Linked DNA regions of Oryzias latipes. The protein of the gene in region 3 purifies or fractionates together with the protein of the main gene of each other region. This does not show direct contact. Links are inferred from orthologs where the notes say so. Each region holds a gene or a part of one and is shown on either strand. Other genes may lie near its edges.

Evidence for each region. Proteins that work in one complex are often made in the same cells at the same time.
Region 1: the proteins of dnmt1 (region 3) and ehmt2 purify together in Homo sapiens (affinity purification with western blotting; 3 studies listed by BioGRID, with this or other methods). This does not show direct contact. The link is inferred for Oryzias latipes from reciprocal best matches to the Homo sapiens genes DNMT1 and EHMT2.
Region 2: the proteins of dnmt1 (region 3) and ezh2 purify together in Homo sapiens (affinity purification with western blotting; 6 studies listed by BioGRID and IntAct, with this or other methods). This does not show direct contact. The link is inferred for Oryzias latipes from reciprocal best matches to the Homo sapiens genes DNMT1 and EZH2.

What each region holds. Positions count from the first base shown.
Region 1 is NC_019869.2:5,424,690-5,428,189, reverse strand, and holds part of ehmt2 (histone-lysine N-methyltransferase EHMT2), read left to right. Parts: intron 1-365; coding exon 366-452; intron 453-1,145; coding exon 1,146-1,282; intron 1,283-1,451; coding exon 1,452-1,595; intron 1,596-1,854; coding exon 1,855-2,177; intron 2,178-2,256; coding exon 2,257-2,490; intron 2,491-3,355; coding exon 3,356-3,438; intron 3,439-3,500. UniProt on the Homo sapiens protein: Histone methyltransferase that specifically mono- and dimethylates 'Lys-9' of histone H3 (H3K9me1 and H3K9me2, respectively) in euchromatin.
Region 2 is NC_019878.2:3,242,524-3,245,021, forward strand, and holds the end of ezh2 (histone-lysine N-methyltransferase EZH2), read right to left. Parts: intron 2,224-2,498; coding exon 2,142-2,223; intron 2,075-2,141; coding exon 1,994-2,074; intron 1,920-1,993; coding exon 1,835-1,919; intron 1,642-1,834; coding exon 1,581-1,641; 3' UTR 501-1,580; downstream 1-500. UniProt on the Homo sapiens protein: Polycomb group (PcG) protein. Catalytic subunit of the PRC2/EED-EZH2 complex, which methylates 'Lys-9' (H3K9me) and 'Lys-27' (H3K27me) of histone H3, leading to transcriptional repression of the affected target gene.
Region 3 is NC_019866.2:8,448,179-8,451,678, forward strand, and holds part of dnmt1 (DNA (cytosine-5)-methyltransferase 1), read left to right. Parts: intron 1-95; coding exon 96-283; intron 284-581; coding exon 582-596; intron 597-1,321; coding exon 1,322-1,502; intron 1,503-1,584; coding exon 1,585-1,682; intron 1,683-1,928; coding exon 1,929-2,073; intron 2,074-2,146; coding exon 2,147-2,262; intron 2,263-2,340; coding exon 2,341-2,542; intron 2,543-2,626; coding exon 2,627-2,760; intron 2,761-2,846; coding exon 2,847-3,026; intron 3,027-3,118; coding exon 3,119-3,343; intron 3,344-3,445; coding exon 3,446-3,500. UniProt on the Homo sapiens protein: Methylates CpG residues. Preferentially methylates hemimethylated DNA. Associates with DNA replication sites in S phase maintaining the methylation pattern in the newly synthesized strand, that is essential for epigenetic inheritance.

The DNA of each region.
Region 1 (3,500 bases), on a different chromosome or scaffold from region 3:
GAGCAACGCCGCCCCCCTTCCCTTCTCCTCCCCGTTGCTGAGAGCTGGGAGCCCGCCCAGTACATTTTCTACTTCAAACTATGATCCTGATTCAAATCAGAGACTTTTTTTTCCGTCTGCTCCTGTTTCACAACGATTCAAATGAAGAAATACTTAATTTTCATTAAATGTGTCCCCATTATGAGAAAAAAATGCCACAAGAACATGTTAAAAACACTGTTTTTAAACAAATCTTAAAAAAATATCTTCAAGATGCACAACTGTTTTGCATTAAAAGGAGAGGATAAATGATTTTACTGTAGGAATTATTGTTGTGTTGATCCTCTCATATCTCCTGACTGCTCTGCTCTTCTGTTGGTCTTCAGAAGAACAAGCAGACGAATACACCGAGGTTCCTTTGGGTGACCTGGACATCGCAGCTGCCGACAGTCTAACTCTTTCCCCTCCTCCTGGTGGGTTTAGTCTACAACTACATTTTTGTTGACCTCTGACCTCGAGTAGAGGCTGCCGTCTTAAATGAAAACAATGATACATCACCTTTGGTACCAGCTACAAATTTAGGGATTTCAATCCTAACTCCTCGACCACCATTGGGTAGCTTCGCGTTTGAACGGCGTTAGCGCGGCGAGCTCGCAAGAGGGAATGTCATCTCTTGTTTGCACAATTTTTACTGGAATATTGTGAACATTTAATTCAAGAACTGTCGGCTCAAGAAGAATGAAACGCTATAGCATGCAAAATAAACACACTAGGAATGTGGGCGTGGTTAACAAAAAACCTCAGTTGCCAAGGAAATTCAAGTTTACTTTTGCAGATTTGTCTAAAAATGACACAGAGCTGTTCGTCACCCCAGAAGATCAAACATATAATGGTTGCTATGGAGATAAAACCCACATAAAAGCTTTTTAAACAAGTGTTTTTTCAGGGTGGGGTGGGAAGGGGGTGTAGCTCATGGAGGTAATAAAACCGCATGAGCGGTTGAAGTTTAAAATCACTTTAAACTTCAACATTTAAAGTGAGCTTCAGAAATAAGCAAACATTTTCTCCAAAATGAGTCTTGAAGCATTTTGTGTTTGTGCTTTTTACGACAATCGAAAGGACACATGTTCAGATCTTGGTGGGTTTCTCCTCCATCTTCCCTGCAGAAGGAAGCGACGCCGGCGACACGGAGAGGCTGGAGGAGCTCCCCCTGTGCAGCTGCAGGATGGAGGCTCCTCGAATCGACAGCAGCTGCCAGCGCATCAGCAGACAGTGCATGGCCACGGAAAGCCTCAACGGAGAGGTCGGGGAACCAACCCTCGTCTCTTAAATAACAAATCCAACAAAAAATAAAACTGATGGAGAAATGAAACGCAAAAGTTCATCAGACAGCTCAAACTTGGAAGTTTTTTCCTTAAAATAAAGGATTTTTATGTTTGACATAAATGTCCCACCTTTCCGTGGCGTTTCAGCTGCGGGCGTGCACCAGCTGGACCGTGAAAGGTGAGACCATGCGACCATCCAGCCGGGTCTCCCTCATGGTGCTCTGCGACGTCCATCGCTCACACATGGTCAAGCACCACTGTTGCCCAGGGTGTGGCTACTTCTGCATAGCAGTAAGTGTGAGGAGGAACAGATGTTTGAAATATTTGGTCTGTTTGTGGCGAGTTAGAAATCCGTCGGTTTTCCTCTTTGTATGATTGTTTTAAATCTTCATTTTTCATATATTTCTCCTCATCTCTTTAGACTCTGCTTAATCCTGTTTTTAATTTTTCTGTATTTTCAGAGGATGTTTTTCTTTTGTCTGTCCACCTCAAACCTGGTCAGGTTTGGTCCATTCTCTTCATTTATATATTTTTAATTCTTCTTTTGCAGGGGACGTTCCTAGAGTGCTGTCCTGACCAGCGCATCGCCCACCGTTTCCACCGCGGCTGCGTGACCGTGCTGAGCAGCGGGCGCAGCAGAGCCAACGGCGGCGGGATGATTTTCTGCCCCCACTGTGGGGAAGATGCCTCAGAAGCTCAGGAGATCACCCTCCCCTCCTCCAGCGCCGCCGCAACCTCAGCCGCCACAGTCGTCACCATGTCCGCCTCCTCCACCACCACGCCATCGCTGCCCCCGACTGCCCCTTCGGGACCCTCCCTCAACGCCTCCACAGGAGGCACGAAGGACGAGAAGATGCCGGAAAGACCCGTTAGGTGAGCTCAGATGACCTTATGGCTGCCTTTGCTTGTGAAAGTGTGGTTTCTATTGATGCTTTGTGTTTTTCTTCATCAGCGCTCGGATGCAAAGCCACGGCTTCTTCACGCTGACCGTGGAGCAGCCGCCGCAGTCGGCGCCCGTTGCAGCGACCGTAACCGCCGCCACCACCCCTCCAGGAGAGGAGGGAGTGGACAGCGTGGGGCCGTCGCTCTGCATGCCGAATGGGAAGCCGGTCTGCCCGAGCGCACTTCCACCAGGACCCAGCAGGGCGGCGCTGCAGAAAGCGATCCTAACACAGGACTCAGAGAGGTCTGGTTTACAGTTTCATACAGCTGCACTGAGGATTTAATAAACCTGTAAAATGCACATATTTGAACTACATTTAAAATGCAACTGTTTCAAAAAAAATGTTTAAATCAGTTTAAAATAAAATACTTACCGGTAGTTATAGTCAAATTTTCAAAATGTTTTGACAAATGTGTGTTTAAAAAACATTTTTAGCAACACAAATGTGAAAAATGACTGAAGACAAATAAACAGACAAATATACACAAATATATGAACCTTATTTGAATTTTAAATTGAAGAAACTGAACTGTAATATTCTCAAGTATGCACCATGATGATGATATTCTACATATTATATTTTATTATATTTTTTACATTTTTGATACTTATCTCTCTATGTTTAAGCTCACATCCTGCAGAATTCAGTGGTTTTCCAAAACATTTTTTATTTAGGTTAACCAGAATAACTTTAAATTAGTGAGATATAACATGTGAGGGCTGCACATTTTTCAGAATATTCCAATCTTTAAACATCTTTTTCACAAAAACACACTTTAAAAGAGGCATGAAATATATTCTGATGGGTCCTGTGACCTTTTCCATCAGCTAAAATAGTTTAGTCATTGCTCCTCTTGCAGAAAAACGATCATTCATGTAAACATTAAAAAAAAAGCACAAACAAAGAAACAGTCATTTACCAACTACTGCTGTGAACGGAAATATTCCACACATTTAAACGTCTGCTTATTGTCCAGAAAATATGCTTCTCCATGCTTTCATTTTTTACAAAATGGTCCCAAGAACTCAAAACGACTACAGTAGGAAACGCGATACAAACTTTCAGAATAAAATAAGAAAATGATTTTTTTTTTTTTTTATTCCACAGGAGGAAGAAGCTGAGGTTTCACCCCCGACAGCTCTATCCAGCCGCCAAGCAGGGGGAGGGACAACGAGTGCTGCTGATGCTGAGTGTGTTTACTGACACAAACTATCATCTTTAATTTTTCTTTCTACCTAATAAGAGTATTTAA
Region 2 (2,498 bases), on a different chromosome or scaffold from region 3:
CTGAGTCATGCGACCACACAGACCCACCAACCCGACGAAGAACTGCTCCCCCTGCAGTGATGGAGCTCCAACCTCCATCAGCGCGATCGCCTGTCCCGTTCCATCCGTACGACTCGCTCGCTTCATCCTTTTATTGTAAATAAAGACTCAAAGAGGAACAAACAAAACCTTCTCTGCATATAGTGCAAATGTATGAAGTAGTCTACAGCCAGTCAGGAGAGCCGCATCCAAAGGTTTCTGCATGCTACTGCCTACCCGCACCACAGTGACCGCCACAACGCAAGGATGACAGGAGTCACTCGGGATCCAGCCGCCGCGGCCACATCTCACATGGGTTCATGCAGGAGGCCAGATTCATCACTGAACGGTGGACATTTGTATAGTGTGGTTCATTTTCTAAATGTGTGATAAATAAAAACAGATTTCTCTAAACTGCGTTTCCTTCTCTGACGAGTTTCACATCAGGAGCATTTGACCTTGAAACAGCAAAAGCCAGAATCTCAACGTTTCACAATATTTTATTCTGCATCACTTTGAACAAACAAATCCCTGTAAACAGTAATCAGCACCTATGTGACCGGACAACCAATCTGAAGAACGATCACGGAGAACCAACCGGACAGGAAAAGGAGGAACACAGAAATCCTGCCGGTGAAGAAGCACCACGTGAAGCCCTGAAGTCTCCCACCACCGAGTCCATAAATTACAGGTGCAGAAGAAGAAAGACGTTTCTCAGCAGGAGAATGAAGCTGGTGCTGCTGAGAGGTCAGGGTTCAGAGGGTCTACAAGCACCAGAGAGCAGAGAAGAGGAATGCTCTGAAGCCCCCGGCTGACATCTTGAAGAGGCAGTGAGCTGGTCTAAGCACCGAGGGGGGGTGGAGTCCAGGTGACACGGTGATTGTTCATGAGACGAGGCACAGCAGACAGGGACATGCCGGCTTTTTCCCATCAAACCTTTCATCATCTGGAAGATGGAGAGAAACTGGATTGTCAATCAACAGACTCCTGATGTGAATCAGTTTAGGATTCCGATCTGTTACACTCCAGCAGGTTCTTTTCCCCTGCTGGATCTGGTTCCAGAGCGGAGAACCAGCACCAATAATCTGATTCCAACTGAACGCAGTGTCAGTACCAATGTGGGGACAGATGGACAATCAAAGCATCAGAGGAACATGACAGAACTGCTTCAGCTCCTGTTTGGTTTGAACGAGCAGCGGCGCTGGAGCGTGTGCTGGTTCTAGCACCTGAAGGAGGTCGGTCCGGATCTGAGAAGAAGAAAGAGGGCAAACGGTTCTGCTGGAGGACTTCGGTCCCTGAAGAGGAGTTTGTCTTTCCTGTGCCAATATTTGGGGGATGTTTACGCCGTGAGGCAAGGCCTCACAGGAGGGAACATTCACCAGTCCAGCAGTCCCAGAGGAGAGGGGTTTTAAGAGGAAAATGATGAAACACAGAGTCCAAATATTCCCAGTTTTCCTGAAGAGCGGAGTTTGGAGAAGCAGCCTGGTTTTCCTGAAGTTATTGTGTTGCTTTGTTGTTAAGGCCTTCTTTGTGTTGCAGAGCCACAGAGGTAGAGGTCGGGATCAGGCGATCTCCATCTCGCGCTCGATCCCCACGTACTTCAGGGCGTCCGCCTGGCTGTACCTGCACAGAAGACGTCCACAAACAGCATCAGTCTCCCAGCTTTACCTGACGGGAACTCGAGGACACATCTGGTTGATGTTTGGAAGACTAAGTTCTTCTGAAACTACGTCTCACCAAAACAGGAAACGCTGATCTGTTTGTGTCTAACGATTATAGTGGAGCTGCAGGTGAGAACTGGAGGTGTTGGACTGACCTGTAGTCAAAGAAGAGCTCCTCTCCGGTCTGGATGGCTCTCTTGGCAAAGATGCCGATTCGGTGATCCCCGTTCACCATCATCACTGCAGACAGCAGAAGAGGGCCTCACAAAAGAGCCTGAAGCCAGTGACGGTCGCTAACAGTCTCGCCCCCTTACCCTTTGCATAGCAGTTGGGGTTGACCGAGTGGTTGGCGAAGCGGATCTTGTTTCCTTTCCTTGTGGCATCAACCACGAAATCTGCAGAGAAAAAGGGTTTAAGGCTGGAGCCGCACTGGACCTTTGGCTGCTCTGGGACCCGTCTCACCGTTATTGAGGTTGAAGAGGAAGCTGCACATGTATTTGTCGTAGACCTTCCCTCTGCGGTCTGCCTCGTCCTGCGAGATGATCTGCAGACAGGGGTCAGAGGTCAGCCTGTGCTGCAGGTGATGATGGTTTTAAAACCTTGCTCCATTGGTTCATTGGTTCCTCTAAATTGCCCCTAAGGGTGCATGGGTGAGTGATCTGTGGCGACCTGTCCAGGATGTCCCCTGCCTTCGCCCGCGACCCCGAAAGGGACAAAACGGTTAAGAAGATGAATTTAGGATTTCCTATACACAAGGCTTTTTCCCTGTAATTTAATCTAGCACTGGATTTTCTGTCAAATAAAAAAATCCTCAGAAAA
Region 3 (3,500 bases):
TCAGTTAAAGTTTTTCTTTTTAACACCCCCCCCCCCCCCCCCCCCCCCTTATCAAATGTGAATCTTGACAGACTATCTTCTTTTTCTACTTTCAGACAACAGTTCCTCCTGCAGGACTAAACTTCAACTGTTTCACTGAAGACACTCTGCTGCGCCACGCCCAGTTTGTGGTGGAACAGGTGGAGAGCTACGACGAGGCTGGCGACTCGGATGAGCAGCCCATCATCGTCACTCCCTGCATGAGAGACCTCATCAAACTCGCAGGAGTCACTCTGGGGAAAAGGTACAGTTAATACATTCAGACGCTTGTAAATAAATTTATATTTAAGAATTTTTAAGTTCATAATTAAGTGACATCACCTCAAAGTTAAAAAGAAAAAAGGGTCTCTCCTTTTGGTGGGATACTTAATTGCCCGACTATTGTATAATAAAGTAGAACAGTTTGGGATTATGACCATGTATCCTTAAAAACACTTAATTGTATTTAGATTGAACCCTTTTTAAATTTTATTTTTTAATTTTCTGCACGTCAGTCTTTGTCTCCCTGATGTCTAACATGTTTTTAACACTTCCTAATGCAGCACGCTGCTGTACTGGTAGGTGGTTCTTGCTGTGATTGCATCTTTATTCTGCTATGTGGTGTTTTTCTGTCAAACATTTAGAAAGTGAACAGAGTTCACACTGAGACACATACATGGTTTTTAAACTATTTTCATTTTCAGTTATTTTGATTTATATTGTGGTCTTTCAGTGTGATTTGCTTTTGTAAAGTTTTGTTGGAATAGTTTGGGATGAAACAAAATTATTTTAAGTCAAAGGTCAGAAATGTAAAAAAAAATGAAACTATCATGAAACTTGAAGAAAATGTTTCTTAAGAACTTCCTTTCTTTTTTTATCTTTTATGTTTATTTGTGTTTTGAGGTAAATTAATAGGCCTAGAGTTGGCTTTATTTTCAAGGTAATAGAGTAATTTTTAAAAAAAAGTCTTTCCAAAATAAAATTATTTCACGTTTTATACTTTCAAAATTTTAAAAGCCGTGAATTATCACTAGATTTATTTCTCTGACAAATTTTCCGAGGTAAAGAGTTTCAAAGAAAAAAAATCCTGTTTAAGTGTTAATATTTCATCTTTAAAGTTTTTTTCCATAGTTCTCCAAAGGTCAAAGGTTAAGTTTTGTTTGCTTGTACTGCTGCATGGCCTGATGCTGTGGTGTGTTTACGGCCAGGAGCTTCTTAGTTCCATCCCTCACCATACGATCCTGTGTTTGTGCTGCTCCAAAACCCGCCTCTCCTCTAAACGCTGACTCTGTTTTGTTGATAGGAGAGCTGCCAGAAGACAAGCCATCCGTCACCCGACGAAGATCGAGAAGGACAGCAAAGGACCGACGAAGGCAACAACCACTAAACTGGTCTACCAGATCTTCGATGCCTTCTTCTCTGACCAGATAGAGCAGAACGATAAAGAGAGTGCGCTCAAAAGGCAGCGTTGTGGCGTTTGTGAAGTGAGTTGGTTATTGTGTTCTTTGGTTTGTTTGTTTTTTGTGAAGTTACAACTCCAAATCTAACAAACTGGAATCTTTTTAGGTTTGCCAGTCTCCTGATTGCGGCAAATGTACCGCCTGCAAAGATATGATCAAGTTTGGAGGAAGCGGTCGAAGCAAGCAAGCCTGTAAACAGAGAAGGTGAGGATGTCTGAGGATCTCTTTGTGGGAAGTCCAAGTCATCACAAACGTTTTGATGGGAAAAAAGTTCTGGTTCAGTTTAACTTTGCCGTATATGCCGCTACAATCATTGCTGCAGGATAAATATTTTTTTTTACAGAAATCCTCGTGTCTCTTCTGCTTCAACTCTTCATACTTTTGTTGTGGTTGCGACAGAGAAATCCGATCTATTAAACTCTCTGATGGCCTTCTTTTCATGCTGTTTAGATGCCCTAATCTTGCTGTAAAAGAGGCTGAAGATGATGAGATTGTTGAGGAAGATGTTTTGGTAGAAAAGGCAAAGAAGGACGCCAACACCAAGAAGAAGAAACAAACTCAGTGCAAGCTTGCATGGATCGGAGAGCCTATACTGGTATGTCTTTTAGTTTTTTTGATTGATTTACTTAAGCCACAAATGTAACTGACAATGATCTGTTTGGCTTTAGTCGGAGGGGAAGAAACACTACTACAAGAAAGTGTCCGTCAATGATGAGGTTTTGGAAGTGGGAGACTGCGTTTCGGTTTTATCTGATGATCCATCCGTTCCTCTGTATCTGGCCAGGTACAAGAAAGAAAAGGTGTACTTTGGTGATGTTTTGTTTTACAGAGGAGTAACCTCCGTTCGTGTATTGTCTCTCAGGATCACTTCAATGTGGGAGGGTTCCCACGGGAAGACCTTCCATGCTCACTGGTTCCTTCGAGGGATTCACACAGCGCTCGGAGAATCCTCTGATCCACTGGAGCTCGTCGTCGTGGATGAATGCGAGGACATGCTGCTCAGTTATGTCCATGAAAAAGTGAACGTTATGTACAAAGCTCCCTCCAACAACTGGTTCATGGAGGTCAGTGGATCAAAGCTGATCAAAAGTTTCCAGATTCATGCTGTCATTTTCAGAAACGTTCACATGTGACGTTTAACGTTTTAGGGTGGAATGGATGTTGACCTCAAGGTGGTTGAGGATGATGGGAAGAGTTTTTTCTACCAGTTTTGGTATGACACAGAGTTTGCCCGATTTGAGACTCCTCCCAAGACTTCAGAACCAGAGGACTGCAAGTACAGGTGACTGATGTTCTGATGTTTGTGATGTTCTTTCTTTGATGCGATGGCTAAACTTGACTCTTCCTCTTCTTTTCTTTTACCTTCAGGTTCTGTGGCAGCTGTGCTCGCATTAAAGAGAGAGCAGAGCAGGAAGTGCCTCAAGCACTCGAACCTCTAGAGAATGAAAGCGGCGACACAAAGGTTCTGTATGCGCTGGCTTGCTTCAAAGGCGAGCAGTTTAAAATTGGAGATGGAGTTTACCTGCCTCCTGACTCCTTCAGTTTCAAGTGAGTGTTGTGTATTTCAAATGGTTTTCTTATGTACAGGGCACAAAATTAAATTGGATTATTGTTTTCCACCTTATATTTTCTGCGTTTAGTATGAAGCCTGCTAGCCCAGTGAAGCGCTCCCACAGGAAGGAGGACGTGGATGAAGATCTGTATCCCGAGTACTACCGGAAGTCCTCAGACTACATCAAAGGGTCAAACCTGGATGCTCCGGAGCCTTTCCGTGTCGGCCGCATCAAGGAGATCTTCTGTCATCGCCGTAGCAACGGAAAATCTGACACTGCAGACGTCAAACTGACACTTTACAAGTTCTACAGGTAGGAAAAGGAATTGAAAATCTGTTACTGAAATTTTTTTTATATAGATATATGTATTAAAGAAATAAACTACTGTTTTTTTTGTTTTTCCTCACCCCCCAGACCAGAAAACACTCACAAAGGTGTTAAAGCGAGTTACCATGCTGACATTAACCAG